Linked DNA regions of Alligator mississippiensis. The protein of the gene in region 3 interacts with the protein of the main gene of each other region in a biochemical or structural test. Links are inferred from orthologs where the notes say so. Each region holds a gene or a part of one and is shown on either strand. Other genes may lie near its edges.

Region 1 (6,968 bases), on a different chromosome or scaffold from region 3:
ATGCAGAGGCAGAGACTAGATGCTAGAAGGGAGACTGAACTGGGTATGACCAGGAATTTCTCCTGTTACTCTGTCATTTGCAGCCTCCAGCCCTTGGGGTCTAGGAAGTTTTGCTCCTCACTCTAATGCTAAGTAGCTACTGATGCCCCTTTCCTCCAAGCACGTGTCCAATCCCTTTGTGAATCTGGCTAGACTCTCAACTTCCCCCACATCTGGTGGCAACAAGCCCCGTGCTTTAATTCCCCGTTGTGTGACAAACAACTTCCATGTGTCTGCTTTAAACTTGCGACCTACTAGCTTCATGTTGTGACCCCTTGTTCTTGTATGAAGAGGGATGGTCAATAACTAATCCCTATTGACTCTTTCTTCACTGTTTAGTATTTTGTAAAACCTTCTCCTGTCTCCTCTCAAGCATCTCTTTTCTGAACTGACTTAGCCTGGCCTCTGCACTCTCTCCTCATATGGAAGCCCCTCCATAGCACTCATCATCCTTGCTGTCCTTCTTTGGACTTTCTCTAGTTCTCCTATATCCTTTTTGGGGGTGTGGGGGACCAGAACTGGACACAAGACTCAAGGTGTGGATGCCCCATGGGTTTATAAAGGGGTATCATGATACTTTCAGTTTGGTTTACAATTCCCTTAATCATCCCTCAAGTGTCATTTGCCTTTTTGATGCTTGCTGAGCACTGAGCTGATGTGTTTAGTGAGCTGTCCACAATGACTCCCAGATCTGATCAGAAAGCTGATGGATTTTCTTGAAGTCCCTTCCAGCCCTGTAGTTTCCGTGAGTTTATGAACATCTCCATTTACATCTGAGATGCATACATTGGTTTATAAGGTGCAAATCTACCCTGGCTTCAGACTAACATGGCTACCTACCTGTGACAGCAGATGGAGGCCTTACCTGAGCTCAGGGCTTCTTTGTGCCAGGTGCTGTACGCATGCACACACATCATCCCTGCCTCAAGAACCTAAATAGGTTCATGAAAAGGGAATTGGTGCGCACACACACGCTCACCCAGCTGCCAATGGCAGAGTTGGGGTGAGAGCCCAGGGCTCCTCATCCTGTTTCCTGTGTCCTGTCCAGTGGACTGCACTGTCTCCCATCTCCAAATCCTTGAAGGCAGCCGAGTAATGAAGCTCCTTAATCTCCCAGCAGATTTCCACCACCTGGTTGTGCAGGCTGGTAGAGATGTCATCAGGAGGGACCCCCAGGTACTATGTGGGATAGCCATGAATCTTGGAGTTTACTGTCCCCCTGCCCTTCCAAGTGCTTCTCCGGCAAAACCCACCCAGAGCTGATGGCACAGTGACCCCTGGCGGCTGGCTACAGTCAGGACACATTTTCTTCCCAGCCTCCTACTGAAACAAAGACTGCCGCTGGCTAAGGACAGAAGTTATACATAAACCAGTTTCAAAATAACTGAAACGAGTTTGATATAAACCTGGTTGAATGTAGTATCAGACTTACCTGATTTAGGTCAAACTGGTTTATAGATTCATAGACATTAGGGCTGGAAGGGATCTTGGAAGATCATTGAGTCCAGCCCCTGCCCCAGGGGCAGGAAGTCAGCAGGGATCACAGGATCCCAGCAAAATTAACATCCAAATGTCTCTTGAAGGCATTCAAAGTAGGTACTTGAACCACCTTCGACGGCAGGCTATTCCAAACCTTGGGGGCTCAGATAGTAAAGTTCTTCATTATGTCCAGCCTGAAACGGTCATGTAGGAGTTCGAGACCGTTCGATCTTGTCATCCCTTGGGGCGCTCTGGTGAACAGACGGTCCCCCAGATCCTGGTGAGCACCCCTGATAAATGTGTAGGTGGCCACCAGATCATCCCTGAGCCTGCACTTTTCCAGGCCGAAAAGTCCCATGGCTTTCAGCCTTTCATCATAAGCTGTTTTCCCAACCTTTGATCATGTGCATCTCTCCTCTGCACCCTCTCAACCTTCTCCACATCCTTTTTGAATTGTGGAGCCCAAAACTGGATGCAGTACTCCAGCTGCGGCCTCACCAAAGCCAAGTACAAGGGGAGAATGATGTCCTGGGATTTGCTTAAGAAACATTTATGGATGCAAGCCAGTGTCCTGCTCCCTTTACTAGCTGCAGCATCACGTTGATGGCTTATGTTCATCTTGTAGTCAATCAGGATGTGGTGCTGCCACCAGTTTTGGCTGGCACAGTGGGCCTAGAGAAGGCAGGGCTGGAAGCCGAGGCAGGTGATAGCAGCCCCGGTGGTGGCTGCATGGAGCTACTCACTGGCATCCATGAATCTATGACTCTTCTGTCCCAGACCCCTGTGATGCAGTGGTTTTCAGCCTTAGACTCAAGACTCCCCTCTGACTCAGAGCCCCCATCAGAAAATCCCAGCTCTTTGTTTTCACTCTCTTGCTTGACTATGAAAAAATACTAGGGCAATTCTTCTGTTGCAAAAAACTCTGCAAACCCCAGCTGAGCTGGATGCTTCTTTCACTCGGGAGTCCTATTTGCAGTCTCTGGGTTTATCCTATGCATCAGGTGTAGGTGTTTGCATGATGCTACTAATATTTCATGACACCCTTAAGGATCTCACAGCACCCCTGGGTGCTGTGTTGGTCCAACATCTAGGGTTGGGGAGCCAGTGGGTTGTTGAAAGAACACTTGAGAGAGGTTTCCACTCCACTCATGTAGATTTATTCAGCAGACAGCACACACTTCCTTGCACTAGTTGCCTTGCAAGCGAGTCTTGTTCCCTATCCTGCCAAGCAGAGGTTTCACCGGGGCATTCAGGGGCATAGTCTAGTAGTCCAAAAACCCTTGTCATTGGACCTCACCCTTGATGCAAAGAAGGTTAACAGCATACTGGGCTGCATGAGTAGGAGCATTACCAGCAGATGGAGGGAAGTGATTGTTCCACTTCATTCAGTGCCGGTGCAGCCACATCTGGAGTCCTGTGTCTGGTTTTAGCCCCAGGCCCCTGGAATATTAAAATAAAAGCTTTTAATTTAACTGAAGAAAGAGATGTGTCACGTTCTATGGGCTAAGTCATCTCACTGTCTGCAGCCCCCTTTCCAACATCCTAGATCTGCCCGTGACCTCATCCAACCTGACTCTTCCTTGGTAGCAGAGCGATGCCCCCAAACGCCCACGGCGTCGTTTCTCCACAACCTCAAAGGGAGGGGACCTGTGCTGGCCTGTCTAGTGTGGGAGACATCGGCTGCCGGGAACCCCTGGAGCCCTGCCCCATAGATAATGGAGCTGAGGCCACAGGCTATCATCATCACCATAGGATCCTAGAGCAGTGTGGGGCTGGAAGGGAGCTTCAGAGGTCACGTCTAGTCCAACCCCTGCCCGAGGCTGGATCAGCCCTGTCCAAGCCATCTGAGACAAACCCATCTAAACCAGGGGTGGGCAAAATGGTGGATCTGGCCAGCAGCCGGCCTGCATTTCCCAGCAGCCCCAGCCTATGTGGCTGTGGCCAGTTCCCATAGAGACCCCAAGAACAGTGGCATCATGACAGCAGGGGGCCAGGGTTTCCACGGAGACCAGCCCCAGCAGCGCTGGCAGGGCAGGTGGCTGGGCGGGGAGCTTTTCTGCAGCCAGCACCTGAGCCTCTGAGGGAGGCCTGAAACCCCCTGCCACGTGGAGCAGAAAGGGGAAGGGGGACAGCACACCCCAGAGGCCAGGGATGTCCCCACAGCAACCGTTCCCAAACTGCAGGTCGTGACCCCAAATGGGGATGGTGACATCAGTGGGGCCCGTCTGGAGGAAATGGGGCCATAACCGTGGTTACCCTGAGGAGGAGTTTGGGAAGCACCAACCGGCCCCTGGGTCCCTGCCTGCAAACCCCCAGCCATGGAGGCCCCTGGGTTCCCGCCTGGCCCCGCCCCTCTGGCCCCGCCCCCTGTCTGGAGGCGGTGCGCGAACTACACCTCTCAGCGGCCCCCGCGGCCCCACCCCGCAAGAAGGGCGGAGCGGATTGGCTGGCGGCCCCGAGCCACTGCGCGCGCGCAGTGCAGCCTGGGCCCCGGCCCGGCTCGGCTGAGGAAGGAGGCAAGATGGTGCTAGAGAGCACGATGGTCTGGTGAGCGCCGGGCAGGGCCGGGGGCCGGGCCGGGTAGGGCTGGGCAGAGCAAGCCTGGGGCCGGGGCTAGGGGCCGCACTGCGCTCCTGGGGAGGGCTGGGCCGGGTTGGGGACGCGGGGCTGGTTTCCCTGAGTCATGGCGGGCCGGGCCGGGCCGGGCCGGGCTGGGGGAGGGGCAGGGGCAGTGATGGGGGTAACGTGGGGGTCAGTGACGGAAGAAGCGGTGACGTGAGAGGGGTCGGTGATGTGTGGGGTCAGTTATGGGGGAGGGGTGACGTGGCAGGGGCCCGGGGGGGGGTAGGTGAAGGGGGGCAGCAGGGCCCGGGCTGGGACCCCCGGGGGGCTGCAGCCTGCGGGCAGGGCCGTACTGCTCTCTCGCGCAGGCCTGGGAGCAGCAGGGAGGTGGCCGGGGGTAGGAGCGGGGTCGCTGGGCACTGAGCCGGGCTCTTCTCTGCTTACTTGCCCCCGGCTGCTCCGAGCCCGGTCCCTGCCTGCCTCCCTCCCCTGCCCTGCGCGGCCGGGCTGCCCCCCGGCCCCCCGTGACCTGCCGCACAAGCAGCGGGTGGGGCTGGGTCACGGGATAGGAGGCGCCATGCCGCGCCCCTTCTTCCCACGCCTCCTGCGACTGGTGCGCGGAAGTGGGTTAACATCCAAGGCACCTGGGATCTGTTGGGACTGGCCTGGTGCCTGGTGTCGGCTGCGAGTACGGCAGCGGTGTCTTGTGCCCCTGTGTCGCCAAACACCCTCACCAAGACTGAACCTGGGGTTTGTAATCTCCCTTTCAGGCAGAGTCAGACCTGATGATGGGGTTTGGGAAGCCAAGGGGGTGAGGGTGCGTTGGTGCTGGCATCGCGCCTTGGGCCGCACCAGAGGAGGCAGCGGGGGCTCAGGGCTGGCTGTCCCCTGAGTGCTGCCCTGTGGTGTTTGTAGGGAAGGATGATGATGGCCCCTACAGCCCTCGTCTCCCTCCTGCTTCCCCGACAGTAATGCTGGGCCCTGGGCACGCACCGGGGCTGCTGTCAGACATGCCCCTTCTCCTTGCTTTTCCCTACCTAGGCCCACACACTTTCACTAACATCTTGAGGCTCATCTTCGCCTTACAATCGTCTACTTTCACTCACATGGTATTTTTTCTTCCACAGCTTTGGTATACAAGATACCCCTTTAAATACTCCTTTTCAGGGGAGTTGGGGACATGCCTTACATACCAGAAAATACGATAGCGAGGACCATAGTAGCTACTAGCCCTCCAACCTCTTCATGGCTGCAGTTCTAGTGACTGCGTCAACAGTGGAGCAGGCTCACAAAACATGAAGTTGCTGTTGTTTGTACTACTCGGGGGCTCTCCATTCAGTCGGAGAGAGGGGGCACAGTTGCTTAATTCAGTGAATAACCAGTTCAGACCCAGGAAAGGGCTAGCATCAGGTTTAAGTGGCATATTAAAAAAAGTTCCTTCCTACTTGCTGCAGGTAACACTTGGGTTATCGATACCCACCGACTCTAGACACATTCCCTGTTGTTTGTGTCTGTCTGGAAAGGTCCTGACAGCGCCATGTGCTGCCCAGAGCAGTGGCGTGAGTCCTTGGGACACCTGGGTTCTGTTCCCAGCTCTGACCTTTTCCATGTCGTGTCTCTGCTTCTGTTTCTCGATCTGTGGCACGGGCCACCTGAGCCGCCACCCCCCACCCCGGCCACACACTACTATGGACTCCCTCTCATTGCAGGTACCTCCTGTGTTGCACTGCACCACACTACGTGCTCCTATTCACCCCCACCAAGCTGCAGTGCTGTCCCTGGGACTCCCAGCCACAGGTTCCCTCATCCCAGTGGGCTGCTGTGCCCGTCCTGAGGGATAGGGGTAGGCAAGGGAAGCAGGAGGAGAGTGGGGGAGCCCAGAGACTCCAGCAGTAGCAGGAAAGCAGTGGGCAAGAAATGTGCTCAGCCTGGGACCTCCTGGGGCTGCAGCTTAACCCCTAGGAGCAGGATGCGGCCCATGGGCCGTGAGTTGCACAGCCCTGACGTGCAATGAAACTGATCTCTGCTATAAAGCTCGCTGAGCTCTGCAGATGAGAAGCTCTAGGTGGTGGTGTTAGCTGGGATGCCCCTGGCTAGTGTTTCCTTCTGGTCCTTGCCCAGCCCGAAGCCTAGGCACATGGGGACAATCACAGCAGAGGGGCGGTTGTTTAAAGGACACGTTCCCTGGCATTAACTCTAAAAATACATTGCAACTGCCACTTTCCAGAGCTGTCATTTGGGGCTGAAATAAACTCTGAGGTCCTTTCTCTAAACATTTCTTTCCCTCCACTCTCTTAGGTCACTCTTTAGAGCTGGTGTAACTGAAAGGGCTGCTTCCACCCACTCTGTGCTGTGGACACAAACAACCCAGCAGCACTGTGGGGTGCACAGGTCATTTGTTGCCTTGTGCGGTTGCTGTTGAGTCTGAAGTTAGCATCTAAGGTTTCTCACAGTGGATTGTAATTATCGCTGCCTGGTGCAGTGCATATCTGCTGCATCAGGGCAGCGCGGTCACAGTCTCCTGCTGTCTGAACCAGCGCTCTTGGTTATACCCATGCTTGCTTTTGGCTTGGAACCGGTGTCAGGAACTGGGCAGGGTGCAGAGTAGGTTAGACAAGAGCTGGGTGTCATGAGTCCTGGGTTTTGGTCCCTGTTGTGTCACTGGCTAGTCATCCCAGGGTTATAAACTTTCTTATGGGGGTGCTGGGAGAGTGCACATCTGCAAAGGTCTCTGGCCCTCCTCCCCTGGCTTGAACATCTTGCCACATGCTTTGTATTGCTCTGTTATGATTTTGTAGCGGAGACTTTTTGCCCTCAGCAGCATGAGGCACAGCCAGACATCTGACTTGAGAGGTAGCTGCGTTTGGGGTCGCAGAATCACAGAGCAG
Region 2 (7,789 bases), on a different chromosome or scaffold from region 3:
AAAAGTATTTTCTATCTTTAGGTGGGCTGGAATCACCAAAACATATCAATAATAATTTGTTTCTATGTTGTTGAGAGCACTTTATAATAATCTATGGACATGGAATCATAAAATCATAGAAAATTAGGATTGGAAGGGACCTCAAGAGATCATCTAGTCCAACCCACCGCTCAAAGCAGGACCAGCCCCAACTAGATCATCCCAGCAAAGGCTTCTTCTAGCCAGGTCTTAATAACCTCCAAGGATGGAGAGTTCACAACCTCTCTAGGTAACCTGTTTCAGTGCTTTACTTCTCTCTTAATGAGAAAGATTGTCCTAATATCTATCCTAAACTTCCCTTGCTGCAACTTGAGACCATTGTTCCTTGTTCTGTCATCTGCCACCACTGAGAACAGTCCAGCTCCACCCTCTTTCGAACTCCCCTTCAGGTAGTTGAAACCTGCTATTAAAGCCCCCATCAGTCTTCTCTTTTCCAAACTAAATAAGCCCAGTTCCCCCAGCCTCTCCTCAGAAGTCATGTCCTCCAGCCCCCTCACCATTTTTGTTGCTCTCCCTTGGATTGTCTCCAATTTGTCCACATCCTTTCTGTAGTGGGGGGGGAGGGCACAAAACTGGACAGTACTCCACATGTGGCCTCACAAGTGCCAGAGGGAATGAATCATTGCCCTCAATCTGCTGGCAATGCTCCTACCAATGCAGCCCAGTATGCCATTAGCCTTCTTTGCAACAAGGGCACACTGCTGGCTCATATTCAGCTTACTGTGCACTGTAACCCCAGGTCCTTTTCCGCAGAGCTGCTGCCCAGCCAGTTGGTCCCCAGCCTGTACTGGCACATGGGATTGTTCCCTCCTAAGTGCAGGACTTTGCACTTGTCCTTACTGAGCCTCATGAGATTTCTTTTGGTCCAATCCTCCAATTTGTCAAGGCCTCTCTGAATCCTAGTCCTTCCCTTCAGTGTAGCTACTACTCCCCTCAGCTTGGTATCATCTGCAAACTTGCTGAGTGTATAATCCATCCCATCTTCCAGGTCGTTGATGAAAATATTGAACAAAACCGGCTCTAAGACTGAACTCTGGAGCGCTCTACTTGATAACAGCTGCCAACAACATATTGAGCCATTGATTACTACCCTTTGAGCTTGATGATCCAGCCAGTTTTCTATTCACCTTACAGTCCAGTCATCCAACCTGTATGACTCGCACATGAACTTGAATCACAAACAAAAGCCACTGGTGAATATTATTCTACTAGAACTTTTGTTCCTAGCAGTTCTAAGAGTTATTGAATTCTCTTTGTAATGCTGGCCCAAATACATGAAAAAATTTACTTTGTGCAAAAGACCATATATTGCTGGCAACTGTAACAATGTGTTTTCTTGTAGTATTGAGCCACTAGAAGTCTGTGCATTAAGGTGAATTCAAGATGGGATGTGGTCCATGGTAAAGAAGGGTGACAAAACTGAAAATCTAGCTTATATCTGTAGCTTGTAGCTTTCTTTAAAGAATGTTTTTTTGAGACAGAGCTGTGATTCTCTGTATCATGACAACAGCTGCTTGACTGGCATCCTACTAAGATGGTTGCAGCTGTTCTTCAAGCTGATGGTGCCTATCCAGGTTGAACATTGTAACTTGTAGTGAAATAAACAGAATTACACATATTTGAACTACCATTCAAAATCCTCAAATACTCTAAGATATTTGGTAAGCTGTTTGTTGACAGCAACTCTGTTGCTGTTCTTGATCCTCTGGATGTGGGAGATCATTATATGCATGGGGTGAGTGTGAAGACGTAAATTAAAAAAGCGAATGGGAAAAAAATGAAATGCGAGATGCTGGTTTGGAGGTGGCAAGGACAAGTAATTTAAACTAGTTATGCAAGTTGGAAAGATTGGAATCAACACTGATAAATGGACAAGGAAGACAACTGGTGGATGCATTTTGGAAGTGCTAGTAATCAAGAGAGTAAGCAAGCCATGGACTGGTGTATTCTATTGTGGTTTTTGAAATGTTAAAAAATGATAATACTCACAATTACTTAAAAATCTCCATAATTATGATTTTGCATGATTTGTTACTAATTACTAAGCCACATGCTTAATTAGAAATACATAAGTATAAGTCTAGAATAGGTAGTATTAAGTTTCTATAATGCTTACCAGGCTAATGATGCGTAAGAACGTAAGAAGTAGAATAGATGAATTTCATATCTAACTTTGCATAATCAGCACAAATTCCAGTTGTCTGCCACAGACAAGTTTCTAAGAATCAGAAACTTAATATATGCTATTTTTCTCTGTCTGAAAATTTTCTAATATTTCCTGAGGCTTATCACACCTCTAAAGCAGCTTGGCTAGAAACCTGATGTATTTTAAATCACACTGTCAGAGATAAATTATGTTGTTTTAATAAAGTTATAAAGGAACAAATGAACAGCAAAGCATATAAGCTGTGCATTTGCCGTGTATGGGAAATAGCTTGAAAAAAGGAGGGAAAACTTTACAATATGTGGTAATTTCTCAGCCCTCCCTAGCTAGAGGCCTGCTGTTGAGACATATGTAAATGACTGCACTCTTTGCAAATAAGTCTGTGCATATACACAAGAATATGTTTTATGTTAGTGCTACAGGACAGACAATGCACAGCCAGCTAACGTGCCAACAGATCTGATGCATGTTTGTTTCCCTTAAGAAAGAAGGAACCAGATGTTTCAAAGTATGAGTTGCTTGTGATGCTTCCAATGTAAAAGAGTAAAGAAAAATGTTTTAACATTTCCTAGCCCAGTTTATCTGCTGCTACCTCTTATCCTCAAAGTACACTGCCATCCCTTCCATGAGCTGCCCTAATAATTTGTTCTGTCATTTGCCTATTTATGGAGCTCTGGCCATCTAATCAGGAAACTATTTAAAACAATGGCCAACTCCAAAGCTGGAATGACAAACACTCACATGAATAGTTGTAACCATCACTTTGTAAGAAATCACAGGCAAGCATGTTTAAAAAACAAAGCCCAACACCATGTTTTAATGGAACAGTAGAATACTAGGTTTCTTACTAGTTAGTCCATGACCAGACAAGAGAGCTATACTTTTCAGATGTGTAGGTTGTAGCCGTGTTGGTCTAAGGACATAGGCAGACAAGGTTCTTTGGGTGAATCTGATTCACCCAGAGAATACCCAATTACCGGTGGGGGTACATTTCTCACAAGAAAACCACTCTCTCCAACCTCTCGGTTCTAATCCTCAAAGGGAACTTACAAAACACTTCTCAGAGACGAGTCTATGAGCTTCACTTCATCAACCTCCTGGATGCAAAAAACATTGGACTAAATATAGACATTGGACTTATGACACACTATAACCTGCCTGACATCTGACTCCCCAGCTACCTCCCACTATTTAACTGCTACATTCATCCCCCTTCTCCCCCCAACCCAGCCTGTCTCTCACCCACAGACTCCTCAATTTAAATCTTCACTGACTGCATGCGGACCAGCCCAGCCTCTGGCTTCTTTACTATTCATTCCATCCAGGAAGAGCACACACCAACTGCAGAGACTTCCTCACCTTGACGAAGGGTTTTTAAACCCAAAAGCTTGCTAAATTTTTTTTTCCAACTATATAAGTTGGTCTAATAAAAGATATCACATTTACCCAAAGAACCTTGTAATATACCATTCAGATCGCATTTCTGATACAAACAGTCTGCAGACCTCCATCTGTTCCATAAGTGCCCTGAAACTCATCTTAGTTATTCTAAATATTCCCCAAGGCTGTGATTTTGTGTGTCCACTCATGTCAAGCCAAGCCAAGCCAAGCCCCTAGGGTTGATGATGGAGGGACAAAGCCAAGCACTGCCTACCAGTCCCTGAGTCACCTCCCGAAGGAGGGCAGCTAAGATCTTCTCTCCATGTCCCAATTCTCTACTAGATGTTCTGAGTTACTTGTCCATGGGTGAGGGCTATTTTCTTAATTCCACTCACATTCATCTCTTGCAATATGTACCATTAGAGGGTAACGGGAATTCTACACATCTGTAGACAAGGTTCTTTGGGTGAATCTGATATCTGTAGTGTATTTGTGTTTTTATTGTATTTATTTCGAGGTCTGCGCTCTAACATGACATGTCCAGCACTGTCCCACAGATTCTCCCTTGAAAAACTACCATTGCTGACCAGTGACACATTGGAGATTGGGTAGTACACAAAAAAAGACACATACATCATCCTGGACAGTGAATACTGGACAGGAACGGGGTGTCCTCGGTTATTTTTTCAAACAGACATCCATCACCCAAAGCTGTCTCCAATGTAGACAGGCCCCGTCACTTGGACTAAGGAACATTCCCTTGGAACGTGTCCTGGCTGGAATAAAATACACTTACAGATGGCGGGGCTTGCTGGTGCTGGATACAGCCAGCCAGCCTCGCTCGCTCGCTGCGGCCTCCAAGCCTATGACTGTGAAAAGGGAAGGAGCCCAGGCGGTGGCCTGCCATGTTCGCTCCCCCGGGGCGGGCGGGAATGGAGCTGGAGGTCATCAGGCTACTAAAGAGCGTTCCCATGAACTATGTACGGAGTATTTTCCTGTCCCTTTTCACTGGGGAAGTCCCCTCCCAAGGGACAGCCACAGGGGGTGGGGTGGGGGAGCTGCCCCATGGACCGGGAGGGCCAGGAGCGGCTTCCCAGACAGCCCCGTAACACAGAGCAATAATCTTTCTTTTTTGTGAGTCGGTTTTTACGTGCCCGGGACGCAGCATAACTTAAACGAGAAGCCCCGAGCGGGTGTTGCTCCCAGGCGCGGGGCGGGCGAGAAGCGTGCGGGGAAGGGGCGCGCGAGGACCTGCAGGTGAGGGGCGGCGGCCCCGGGAGCGCGGGCTGCCCCCACCCCGGGCTGGGCTGGGCGGGGCGGGGGCTGCGCCGCTGCTGAGCTCCGTGTCTCCTGTCACTTCGCCCCAGGCCCGGCCATGGAGGCGGCGGTGGGCAGCCTGCAGCAGAAGGCGGCCGAGCTGGAGCACATGGCCGAGGTGCTGCTGACCGGGGAGCAGCTGCGGTAGGAGACGGAGGGAGGGAGGGGAGGGGAGGGGAGGGACGGGGGAGCCCCGCGCTGCGGGGCGGCGGCAGGCGGGGGAGGTCCGGGCCGCCCGGGCGCATCCCGGCCGCGGGCTCGTGCCGGGCTGGGGGCAGCGGGGACCCTGCCGGCCGGCCGGAGGGCGGGCGGGCGGCTGTCACGGAGCCCTCTCTGCTCTGCCCCCTGTCCTGGGCTGGAGAGCAAGGAGGGGTTTCCCTGTGCCGTGCCCATGGGGAAGGCTTGTCCCGGTCTGCCAGCTCTTTGCTTTGCAGTTTGAGGAAGGGGCGACAGGGAGAAATTAAAAAAAAAAAAAAAGTCTTGAAGGAGTTGGCTAAATGATGCTGCTGGACTGCGGTATCCACCCGGGCTGCTGCAGTCCGGAGGCAGCTTGCTCTGCTCTGTTACTGAGGTGCTTGTCCTTTGGCCATTGTATGGTAGCTGGTCTGTGGAGGGAGGCACAAGGCAGGCAGGGGGGCACCTGAGACACTCACCGCTTCAGAGAGGCACCAGCACATCTTCCAGGCGCTGCAGCCAACCCCATCATGGTGAGATGCGATGAATGGGCTTGCAGGGAGATAGAGAGCAGTCATTTGAACACAAAGGGTGGGAAAGGGAGAGGAGAGGAGAGGAAAGGAAAGGAGGGAGTGCTGCTGCGGAAACAAAGGTGGGTTGAGACGATGTGGTGGTCTCAGGACTTTGGAGAAATGGAGAGAATTTGAAAAGGCAAAACAAAAAAAAAAGAGCAATATTTAAAAATACTGCTTTAGCTAGAATAGGAGCAATACGGTCTAAGAAATCTACATGAAGATCTAGGTTTTCTTCCATCGCTTGGAATAATATGGAACCACAGAGTCTGTAAAGGTCTTTTTTATGATAGAAGATTTTTATCTTGAATCAGCTGATCCCAACTTCCCCATCCCCGCCAAAATAATTCACAGTGCTGTGACTCAGATTGTACATGGCAGAGAAACTGTTAAAAAAATTGCATGAGTCAGACAGTTAATTTTTAATTTCTGGTGCTGTATTGAAAGCATGCTGTGCCCATGCATTATGAACAGCAATAAAGAAGAAAAATTTTAAGCTTTCATTTTCCAACTGCTTACATAACTTGTTGCAATGAAGAAAAAGAGAATGCATGGTATGGGTATAAGCAGAATGGGGTGGGAGGACTATTTTGCCAGCAGTTTCTTAAATTGTTTTCAGCAAATATCGGCTAATTATTTTTAAATGCTGGGTTATTGCTGGCTTCCGTTTCTCATCTTGAAAGAGTTCCTTGATCTGGGAGCCACTAATGTGAGACCCCTAGTCTCTTGCTTTCATTGCAGTGGAAATTGGCTATTTAAAGAGTAACACAAAATCATGATTAAGATTTGCTTATATTTTAAGTTATTATATGTCCCGGGCAGTTAAAAAATACTCAAAAAATGGAAAGATTAGGGCTCTTTTTCAGTCTTCAAATGTTTTATGGTGCTGGTTCAGAAAACATTTTCATAGCTTAGTAGCAGCTCCCTGATGTTCAATGAAATTCTCGACTGGTGTAAGTCAGGGCCCTGCTACACATTCAATTTAAAGCTGGATAGAAACCTTTTATAGAGCTGTTACACATTTCCAAGCACTAACTTTGTAGCTGGTTGCCTCTTTTTATAGCTGGATTTTACAGCTTTTATCTTTTTATAGCTGGATTTTATCACATGATTTGTATCGTGATAAAATTGCTTTGTACGTGTGGCTGGTCTAAATTTCTTGTGCAATGAACCAGGTAATTGAGTGATAATTACTTTGCACATGTGGCCAGTATTACTTTGATGTGTGGCTAGTCTAAATTTATTGAACGATTAACCAGTTAATTGTGTAATATATGTAATACACAGCAGGGACCTCAATGTAGTGTAGATGAAGATTTGACATGCAGTTTTAGGTTTCCTATCCTAAACTGGTACGCATATTTTTTTTCTTGGGAGTTGGTTTAGGGACCTATTTTTAAGTGTTGAGGCACCTGAAGTTGAAGTTAGGTGATGGGAACTGGGTGCCCTGGCACCCCTTAAAATCCCACTAGGTCCTTGCCTGCAGTTTAATCATAAATGTTTTTTAAAAATTGGCTTGTCACTGTTCCAGTAAAAGATGAAGGTTGTAAATGTTGCTACTTGGGGTAGCAGTATGCTGCTTATTTGACAATGGCACCATTGGTGTACATGGTATTTTGACAGAAACAAAAAATCATGACTGTCTCTGTCCTAAGAAGTCAATCAAGATCTATAAATCCACCCTTTTAAATCTAATGACAAAAGCCTAACCTAGGTTTCCTTTTTATTTTGCCCTCTCTGATGTTAACACTCATATCTTACTACATTTTCCAGATCAGATCTGTCAGACTGGCATCCTGTGGGACTCATGCGGCCTATGTGGTGCCAACATGTAGCCCATGGGCTATATGCAGCCTACAAGCATTTAAGTTGTGGCCTGCAGGCCCCAGCAGCAGCCTCTCATGCTGCCCTGCATCAAGGGAGGGCCTAGGTCCTGTGCGCTGCCTGCACAGTGCACACAGCAGGGGTCTACATGCCACCAGTGCAGCCCAGGCAACGGGGGGGCCTCATGCTGCCAGTGAAACCTGTGCGGGGAGGAGCAGGGGGGCCACGTGCTGCTTGCAGGGGATGGGTAGCCACCAGCTGCCAATGTAGCCATGCAGTGGGAACGATTCTGGGGGAGCTGCCCCCTGAAGCTTGTGGC
Region 3 (8,002 bases):
CGCAAACTCCTGGCACGGCGCGTCGCGTGTCTTGCCGTGCTCTGGACAGGAGGGGCAAGGTATCGTGTCTGCTTAGAAGAGCTGGGAGTGGAAATCTGGCCAGAGCAATCGTACTGCTAGACAGCCGTGGGATCAAGAGGCTGGACAGGCACTGGTGGGGGATGATCGAGGCATAGCAATGCCTGTATTCTATGATGGGAGCTTTGCAGGCTTACTGGGCTGTGCTGGTTGACTCCTATCCCCTTTCTGCTCCATGTGAGAGGAGGTTTTTAAGCCTCCCCAGAAGCACTGAGGGTTGGGGATGGGGATGGGCTAGTGCTGGGCCAATGCTCCTGCTGCGCCAACCCTGCAGGGTCCTGGTGGAGGGTCTTGCCCCCACGCTCAGCTCAGCCCCATGCTGCACTGGGGCAGGAAGGGATTTCCCCCCTGCTCAGACTGGTCCAGACTGGGGGGTTTTGCCTTCCCCTGCAGTGGGGACACGGCCTCGGCCTGGGGCATCTATTAACAACCTTTTATAGGAGCAGGATGCTGGTGGCCACAGTCCCCTTGCTTTCCACGTGGCAGGTTCAGGTGTGATGCCTGGTGCTGTGTCAGGGCTGGCAATAGTTTTATGTAGAGTTTAGATGATGGGTTTTTCTGGGCTGGTTTGCACAGGGCTGATCCTGCCTCAAGCAGGGGTTGGACTCGATCTGACCTCCGCAGGTCCTCTCCAGCCCTGCGGCTACAGGATTTCGAGGATGATTCTAGCAATCACGGGCAGCCAGGCTCTCGGTGACTCTCAGCCACATCACTTGTACCTACATTTGTTTCAAATTTGCCCTGCACTCATGTCCAGCCTCTTTGCGGTGTGAGCAGGCAGGGCAAAAAGGGATCGGTTCCTTCTCACCCCCCGACCCTCCATAGTTCTGGATCTCCATTTCGTGCACTGAGATCACTGCCTCTCGCCCAGTCGGGGTGGAGTTTGGATGCACAACACATTTACCTGCCTTTGGGCAAGATAAAGGGGCTCATGGGTACAAGACAAGCTGCTAACCTGGGGTAAGGGTCTCGAATCAGGTGTAGAGCTGCCCAGGGAAAAGTCAGCCGTCATGATACCCCGGTGTAAGTTGTACCGATGAAGTGCCGCATGTCCACAGCGATCCAGGGATATCCACGTGATGGAGCCTGTCACAGAGTCCCCTCCAAGGGGTAACTGCAGTCTTTGCAAGTGCACCTCAAAGCCAGCCCTGCTGTGTCTCCTAGAGCAAGTGGAGGAGCCCGGGCTCCTTCTGAAACCCTGGCCTTTTGGTCTCTCGTCTTTCCTGGTTTTCCTTGGAGCTGCATCCAGTTGTGCCCCGGGAGAGGCGCTTTACCCTCTCTTGCTGCGGAGAACAAGGGCTGCCCCAAGTCCCAAGCAGCAAACAGGCAGCTCTTGCTTTCAAAAGCTTGTTCATTTTATCCCAGCTCTCTCCCACAAAAATGCACACCTGCTTCAATTAGGGCCGAAGTCACGCAGCCAGAGGGTGTCTGCCCCCTCTTCGAAGGCTTACGCCATTCCTCTGTCCCCCGTCCAGTCTGCACAGCCCAGCTAACCATGAAGATCGCTCCACTATTCTCTTTCCAGGCCCAGAGCCCCCGAAGATCCTCTCCTGGTCTCCGATCCAGCCTCTCAGGCCAGGAGCTGACACCTTGTTCCCATTCTCCACCCCTTCCTATGCTGGTCTCGTCCACCTTCCCTCCAGCCCCCTGGCCATCTCACCTTTGCTGATCTGTCAACAAAGCTACTGAGGGCTGTGGCTGGCAGAGGTCCATCTGTCATCTCCTGCTTCCTTGTCTCTTTAGCCCATTCCTTCCCCATGTACGAGCTTGGTGGGGAAAATGAGGCACGCAACATCATTCATAACACCATAACGCAGAAAGATCCCAATAAAATCCGCAAGCCGTCACAGAGCCTCCCACATGTTACACCTGTACCTGAGCACTTGGCCTCGCCTTTTCCTTGTGCTCTCCCTTAGCTGTATTCACCTGTTGTCTCTTGCCTTGGACTGTAAGGTCCTTGGGGCAGGGCATGTCCTCTTGTGGGTTTGCTCAGTGCCAAGCAGAATGCAATCCTGGTCCCTTCCTAGGGTGCCCAGCCCCTGTAGGGATACACGTAACAGCCACTTTAATAACCCCGGTCTCCCTTTCAGGCCGAATAAAAGAGCTACCCCCTGGCAGCATGTGAGGTCAGGCACAATTTAAGCTTTGTAATTCCTTTCACTGGTCTGTGCTTGTTATAATCAGAAGAAGTTCAGCTCAGAGAAGTCACCGATAGATAAAGCAGCCTTAAGGGCTTTGGGGTAGCAGTGCGGGCTCCCGCAGCAGTACACTTTTCAATTTCCCTACAATTAAGCCGGCCTCAAATGTTATTGACAAATAAAGCACAAAAGCAAAACCACTGAACCTTTCCCGCTGCTACAGAAAGGTTCCACTTACCTCCCTGCCAGCTGCCGCACGCCTGGAGGGCTGAGACTTAGAGCCGTCAGAGCCCAAACTCTAGGGACTCCCAGCCTCTTGCAGCAGTGGAGAGTGGCTCCATTCTAATTACACTACTCCCTCATCCTAATTACTGTTATTTAGGTAATGCCGAAAGTGTAGGCAGTCTTGTCAACAGCCTGGGAAATACCCAGCGCGGTGACACGTCAGGCATGACAACCTGCTTTAAGCATCACCATCCAGCCTGCAAGACCGGGGGAGGGAAGGGACGGGCTGGCTGGCACGCAAGGTGTGACTGGCCTTTCGGAGCTGAAGGGAAGGCAGGAAGGAGAATGAAATGATCCAGGGGTGAGAGCACAGAGATGTGCAAGGGGACCTAGGGCAGAGGGGAAGCAGAGAGATAGAAGCAGAGGAAGAGTTGTGCTGACATGGAGCAACAGCCAGGGTTTCAATGTGACTTTTAGTTTGCAACGAATCCATGGACGCAATGCTTTCATTCCCAGCAAGCCAAACTAAACTACATTGAGGAGTTTTACTTTAATGCACAAGAAAGACTTTTAAAGCGTTGGGAAATCCCGCGCGTGCAAACAGACATGCAGTTGCTGCACATGAAAGGGCAAAAATTGTGGCATGTATAAGTCCCATATCTGTAGCTTCATCCATTTTACTGGGTATTTAGCACCACTGGTCCCCAACTGCAGGCACATTTGAGGTGGTATTACACCATCAGAGTTTGGGGGCAGGGGTTCTCATGGTGTGTACAGAGTCTAGCCCAGTCAGGTTCTGGCCCCTGAGTAACACATACTCACAAGGGTCTGCTAACACCCCCTCCCCATGTTCTGTGCAAACAAGACCTGATTTCCCAGTGAAGTCCGGTCCTTATTTAAATAATTAACAAGCGATTTCTCTTTGTTGATGAAGGGTGCTGGGGCACTTCAGGGTTAAGGCAAACTGAGTATGTGAATTCAGGAAGGGGGCTTCCCACAGCCTGCAGTTCTGGCCATGTCTCCCATGCCTCCTTCCTGATCTGCTTATGGGGGTTAGGGGGTTGGAAATGGATCTGGGGCTGGGACACATGGCTTGTGAGGAGAAGCTGAGGGAATTGGGATTATTTAGTCTGGAGAAGGGAAGATTGAAGGGGGATTGAATAGCAGCCTTCACCTCCCTGCAGGGGGGCTGCACAGAGGATGGAGCTGGGCTGGTCTCAGTGGGGGCAGATACAGGACAAGGAGCAATGGGCTCAAGCTGCAGCAAGGGAAGTTGAGGTTGGATATTAGGAAAATCTTTCTCAGAAAGAGGGTGGTGAAGCACTGGAACAGGTTACCCAGAGCGGTGGTGAAGTCTCCATCCTTGGAGGTGTTGAAGACCCGGCTAGACAAAGCCTTGTCTGGGATGATGTAGTTGGGGCTGGTCCTGCTTGGAGCAGGGGTTGGACTAGATGTGACCTCCCGAGGTCCCTTCTAGCTCTCACTGTCTGTGAGTCTATGAATATGTCAAGTGTATTCTTTCCTCAGTAATCCTCATGGTTTCCTTACTAATTTATAGGATTTTTATTTTAAATGGAAAGAATTGCAATGAACTCTTTAAACATAAACTGGCTGCTTTTCGTAGCTCACAAAAAGGCGACATTTGTAGTATACCTCAATTTTTTTATTTTTTTTTTTTTACAGCCAGCTCTTTTAGCTGCACTTGTTCTCGTGGCTTTTGTGTAAATATGTTTGCTGTGCTTGACATAAGACACTTGTAAAGGTTAAACTCGATCTGTTTGGCTAGGTGCAAAATGCTTATTTTTATCAAGGCCACGGATTTTTCAGGTTTTGTGCCCTAAGAAATATTTTTAAAATGAATATATATAAACATATTAATATATACAAATTAATATGTGCATATATATCTATTGACTCAGGGTTATCTATCTATGGGTGATAGAGTTATATCTAGATAGTTATATAGAGAGAGATATCTATCTATCTATCTATCTATCTATCTATCTATCTATCCTATACCCATAGATAGATAGATAGATAGATAGATAGATAGATAGATAGATAGATAGATAGATAGATATGGGAGATATCTATCTATCTCCCATATTTCTCTCTCTCTCTCTCTCTCTCTCTCTCTCTCTCTATATATATAATCGATATATGTCCCATATCTATATCAATATCAATATCAATATCTATCCCTTATATATATCTATATCTGTATCTCTAGCTGTATCTCTATCTCTTATATAAATGGGCTTCATGTAGCATTTGGCAGAATTAAACGCGAGCCCCGGGATGAGGAGCTGAGCCCTCTCCCCCTGCCCTTGCCTGTCCATCAGGCCCCTCAGAGCCCTTGCCAACTACAATTCCCGGGAGCCTCCGCGGGTTTCCCGACTGCGCATGAGCCCCGCGGCGGGGAGCCGGGCCGCGGCCGCGAGGGCTGTTGGGGGTTGTAGTCCCCTTCCCTCCCCGGGCCCTCGCCGCCGCCGCGGCCGGGGACTCCATGTCCCGGGGGCCTGCGCGCGGCGCATGCGCGCGGGGCGGGGGGGGCGGAAGAGAAGCGCAGGTTTCTGCCTGCGCTGGCTCCGGCCTGGCGCTGAGGGAGGGGGCGGCCCCGGCCCGGCCCGGCCCCGCGGCGGGACTATGGACCCGGCGGAGGCCGTGCTGCAGGAGAAGGCCCTCAAGTTCATGGTGAGGGGCGGGGAAGGGCTAAGAGCTCCCTGCGGGGCTGATGGGGGTGCCCCCCCCGGGCCTGCAGTGGGGTGGGGGCCCTAGGGGCAGGGAGTGGGGGAGGGGCGTGATGGGGTGCCCCACCCCCCGCAAGGCCTGAGGCAAGGGCCTGGAAGGGGCGTCTGGGGGGTCATGGGGTGCCCCCTACCAAGGCCTGAGGCAGGGGCAGTTGTGCGGGGTCCTCAGCGCAGTGGGGGTGGGGAAGGGGCATTATGGGGGTGCCTCCCTGCAGGGGGGGGGGGTTAAGGCAAGGGTATGGGTGGGCAATGGGGTGGGGGAGGGGCATTATATAGGGGTCCCCCCAAAAAAAGGGTGGGCAGTGTGTGTCCCCCCCCCAACAGGGCTGTGGGGGGTGGAGGAGGGGCATTTGGGGGTTCCCCCCCCAAGGGCTGATGCAGGAGTCTGGGAGGGTCTTCAGGGCAGTGGGGGAGGGGCCTGGGGGGTCCTCATGGTAATGCATGGGTGGGGGGAGGGGCATTATGGGGGTGCCCCCAGCATGGGCTGGGGGGGTACAAAGCAATGGGGGGGGGCTGCTGAGGCTAGGAGCTGGATGGGGGGTGTGGGGGGGTAGCTGGCTGGGGGGCTCTGGGGTGGGGATCCCCTCCATTGGTAGGATTTGGGGGCCACGAGCCTGCGGAAGAGGGACACGGTGCCCGGGGAGGGGGCACGCGCCGGGCAGAGACGTGTCGCGGGCACTCCAGCCTGCCCGGGCACCAGGGCCTGTGGGGGAGGCCGGTCCTGCCCCTGCCCCTGCTCTGCGGGGGGGTCCCGTGGGTGCGACCCCCCCGTCACAGCCCGTCTCCATCGCTTTTCCTCCCCACCCCCTTCTACCACCGGCTGGGGGCCGGCCTCTCTCGCTCTTTCCGCCCACCATATTTTCCTTTTCCTCGCTGCTTTTCAAAGAACGAGCCTGCCCGTTATCTTGGATCCTGAGCCAGACACTAGTTTTTGGGGGCGTCTGCCTCCGAGTCTGGTTTGTGTAGATTAGTGGTTTAGAGACACTGGTTTCAACTCTCGTTTCATTCGTCTTGACCACAGGTTTAATTCCAGATTGGGGGGTTTTTTGTGGTTGGTTTGGGCTGGAAAACAGTCGCATCAAGACATTTGCACAAACATCCACGCCACGTTAACTGACCGTTCATTTCAGGTGGGCTCAAGTCTTCTGCCTCCGAGGATGTCAGTCAGTTGACAGGCAGCGTTTGCTCCAAGTTTGTTCTGGATTAGTCCTTTCAGTGGCACAGATTTAAATCTCTTCCTCGGGAGCAAAAAAAAAAAAAGGGGAAAAAAAATCAGTTTAAACCCTCAGAATTTATGCCCCAGGTGGAACTAGCGAAACACTTGGTACAAATCTTGGTTTTCATTTGCACTTCAAAAGCGGTAGAAATTCTCAGCGTATAATGACCTCCATTTATTTTCTTGTACAATTGATAGCCCCTTGAAGCCTTCTCTCCTCCTGTTCAGACCATTGGACTCTTCTCTCAGCGCCCTTTATTTTTGTTAGATTTACAGGCTTTCAGGTGGTAGAGGTGGGAAACGTATGCGGTGCCTGAGTAGCTTTGGGAGTCAAAATTGCCTCCTTTCATCTATAATCGATCAGAAGTTTGCAAGAGATCCCGTTGCGTGTGGATCTGGCCAGGTTGGTCCACTCATTCGTGACTTAGGTTGGATCTGTCCAACTCGTTAGATCTCAGGTGTAACAAAGCCTCGCACCCTGGAAAGGGCCCAGCTGATAAGGCGTCCTGCTTCCTGGTATTGTAAACGCATCACACGGGTGCTCTGCGCTGGTCCCCATGGAATAAAGATTCCAGTCTGAGCTCTTCGTCCAGACATTCAGAGCCCTCCTTGAGATTGGCTTGTGCTCCCTGAGGCCCATCGGGCCTCCTGCCCTCCATCTGTGCCCCACAGACTGCAGAGAAACCAGAATTAAGTTGCTGGATTCGCTTTGAGTGTTAAGAGTGGCCAAGACACCCCGTGTACTGAGAAGTAAATGTCAAACGTGTCTCTTCTGAGTGCAGCTGTCACGCAGTAAGTTCTTCACATGCATACCTGCAGCCCACGTAGACAAGCACCCAAGCAAGAAAAAACTGTGGACAGCTCACATGTTGTCTTCTGCTAATTGGCAGAGGATGGAGCAGTACTTTTCTTTTTAATGCATTGTTGGCTTTTTCTCCCCAGCACTGAACTTGATAGGATCTGAGTGTCTCCCCAGTAATTAGACAGGCAAAGCTGAGCTTCACGGCGTCTTTTGCTTTTCTCCCTTCCATGGTTAGAGAGGTTCTGCATCAGTTAGGATGGGGTGGACGAGAGAAAGTTTTCTTAACCTGAACCAGGTTGTGGGGGGGAAATCCACTGGGTGTTGTCTTGATATTTAAATAGTTGGAGTTGCTTAGATGCCATAGTGAGGAGAGCCACGTAAGTACAGGCGTAGATCTGGAAAAGACGGATTAGATGCGTTTCAGTCCATGCTGACTCATCCACAGTACATTTTCCTGTCAGTCCAAGTGGATGACAAATTTGGCATACCTTGATTCTTACTAAGTGGGTCAAAGCATGGCTCACTTCAGTCCAATCTATTCATTATTGATTTGCACAGCATCTTTTCACAAGTGTCAAGGTGCCTTCCTTATTTAAATATTGAAACACTCTTTGAAAAGACCAGACTCATTATTTCTCCGGGCCCCAGTACAATATTTACAATTTGGCTCCGGATTCACACAACAAACAATAAGGGCTGGAAGCAGCCTTGTAGGTGGTGATATTTTTGTTCTTGTCTGTATGATTATTTTTCATTTAAAAAATGCTTGCCTGGTCCCTGGCAATGATTTTGG

What was found.
Region 1: of the proteins of BTRC (region 3) and PSMD4, one has a biochemical effect on the other in vitro, tested with the Homo sapiens proteins (2 studies listed by BioGRID). The link is inferred for Alligator mississippiensis from reciprocal best matches to the Homo sapiens genes BTRC and PSMD4.
Region 2: of the proteins of BTRC (region 3) and DEPTOR, one has a biochemical effect on the other in vitro, tested with the Homo sapiens proteins (3 studies listed by BioGRID, with this or other methods). The link is inferred for Alligator mississippiensis from reciprocal best matches to the Homo sapiens genes BTRC and DEPTOR.

The regions. Positions count from the first base shown.
Region 1 is NC_081838.1:20,037,033-20,044,000, reverse strand, and holds the start of PSMD4 (26S proteasome non-ATPase regulatory subunit 4), read left to right. Parts: upstream 1-3,956; 5' UTR 3,957-4,039; coding exon 4,040-4,065; intron 4,066-6,968. UniProt on the Homo sapiens protein: Component of the 26S proteasome, a multiprotein complex involved in the ATP-dependent degradation of ubiquitinated proteins.
Region 2 is NC_081826.1:22,931,976-22,939,764, reverse strand, and holds the start of DEPTOR (DEP domain-containing mTOR-interacting protein), read left to right. Parts: upstream 1-4,777; 5' UTR 4,778-4,840; intron 4,841-4,950; 5' UTR 4,951-4,958; coding exon 4,959-5,044; intron 5,045-7,789. UniProt on the Homo sapiens protein: Negative regulator of the mTORC1 and mTORC2 complexes: inhibits the protein kinase activity of MTOR, thereby inactivating both complexes. DEPTOR inhibits mTORC1 and mTORC2 to induce autophagy.
Region 3 is NC_081829.1:99,940,980-99,948,981, forward strand, and holds the start of BTRC (F-box/WD repeat-containing protein 1A), read left to right. Parts: upstream 1-4,993; 5' UTR 4,994-5,087; coding exon 5,088-5,135; intron 5,136-8,002. UniProt on the Homo sapiens protein: Substrate recognition component of a SCF (SKP1-CUL1-F-box protein) E3 ubiquitin-protein ligase complex which mediates the ubiquitination and subsequent proteasomal degradation of target proteins. Recognizes and binds to phosphorylated target proteins.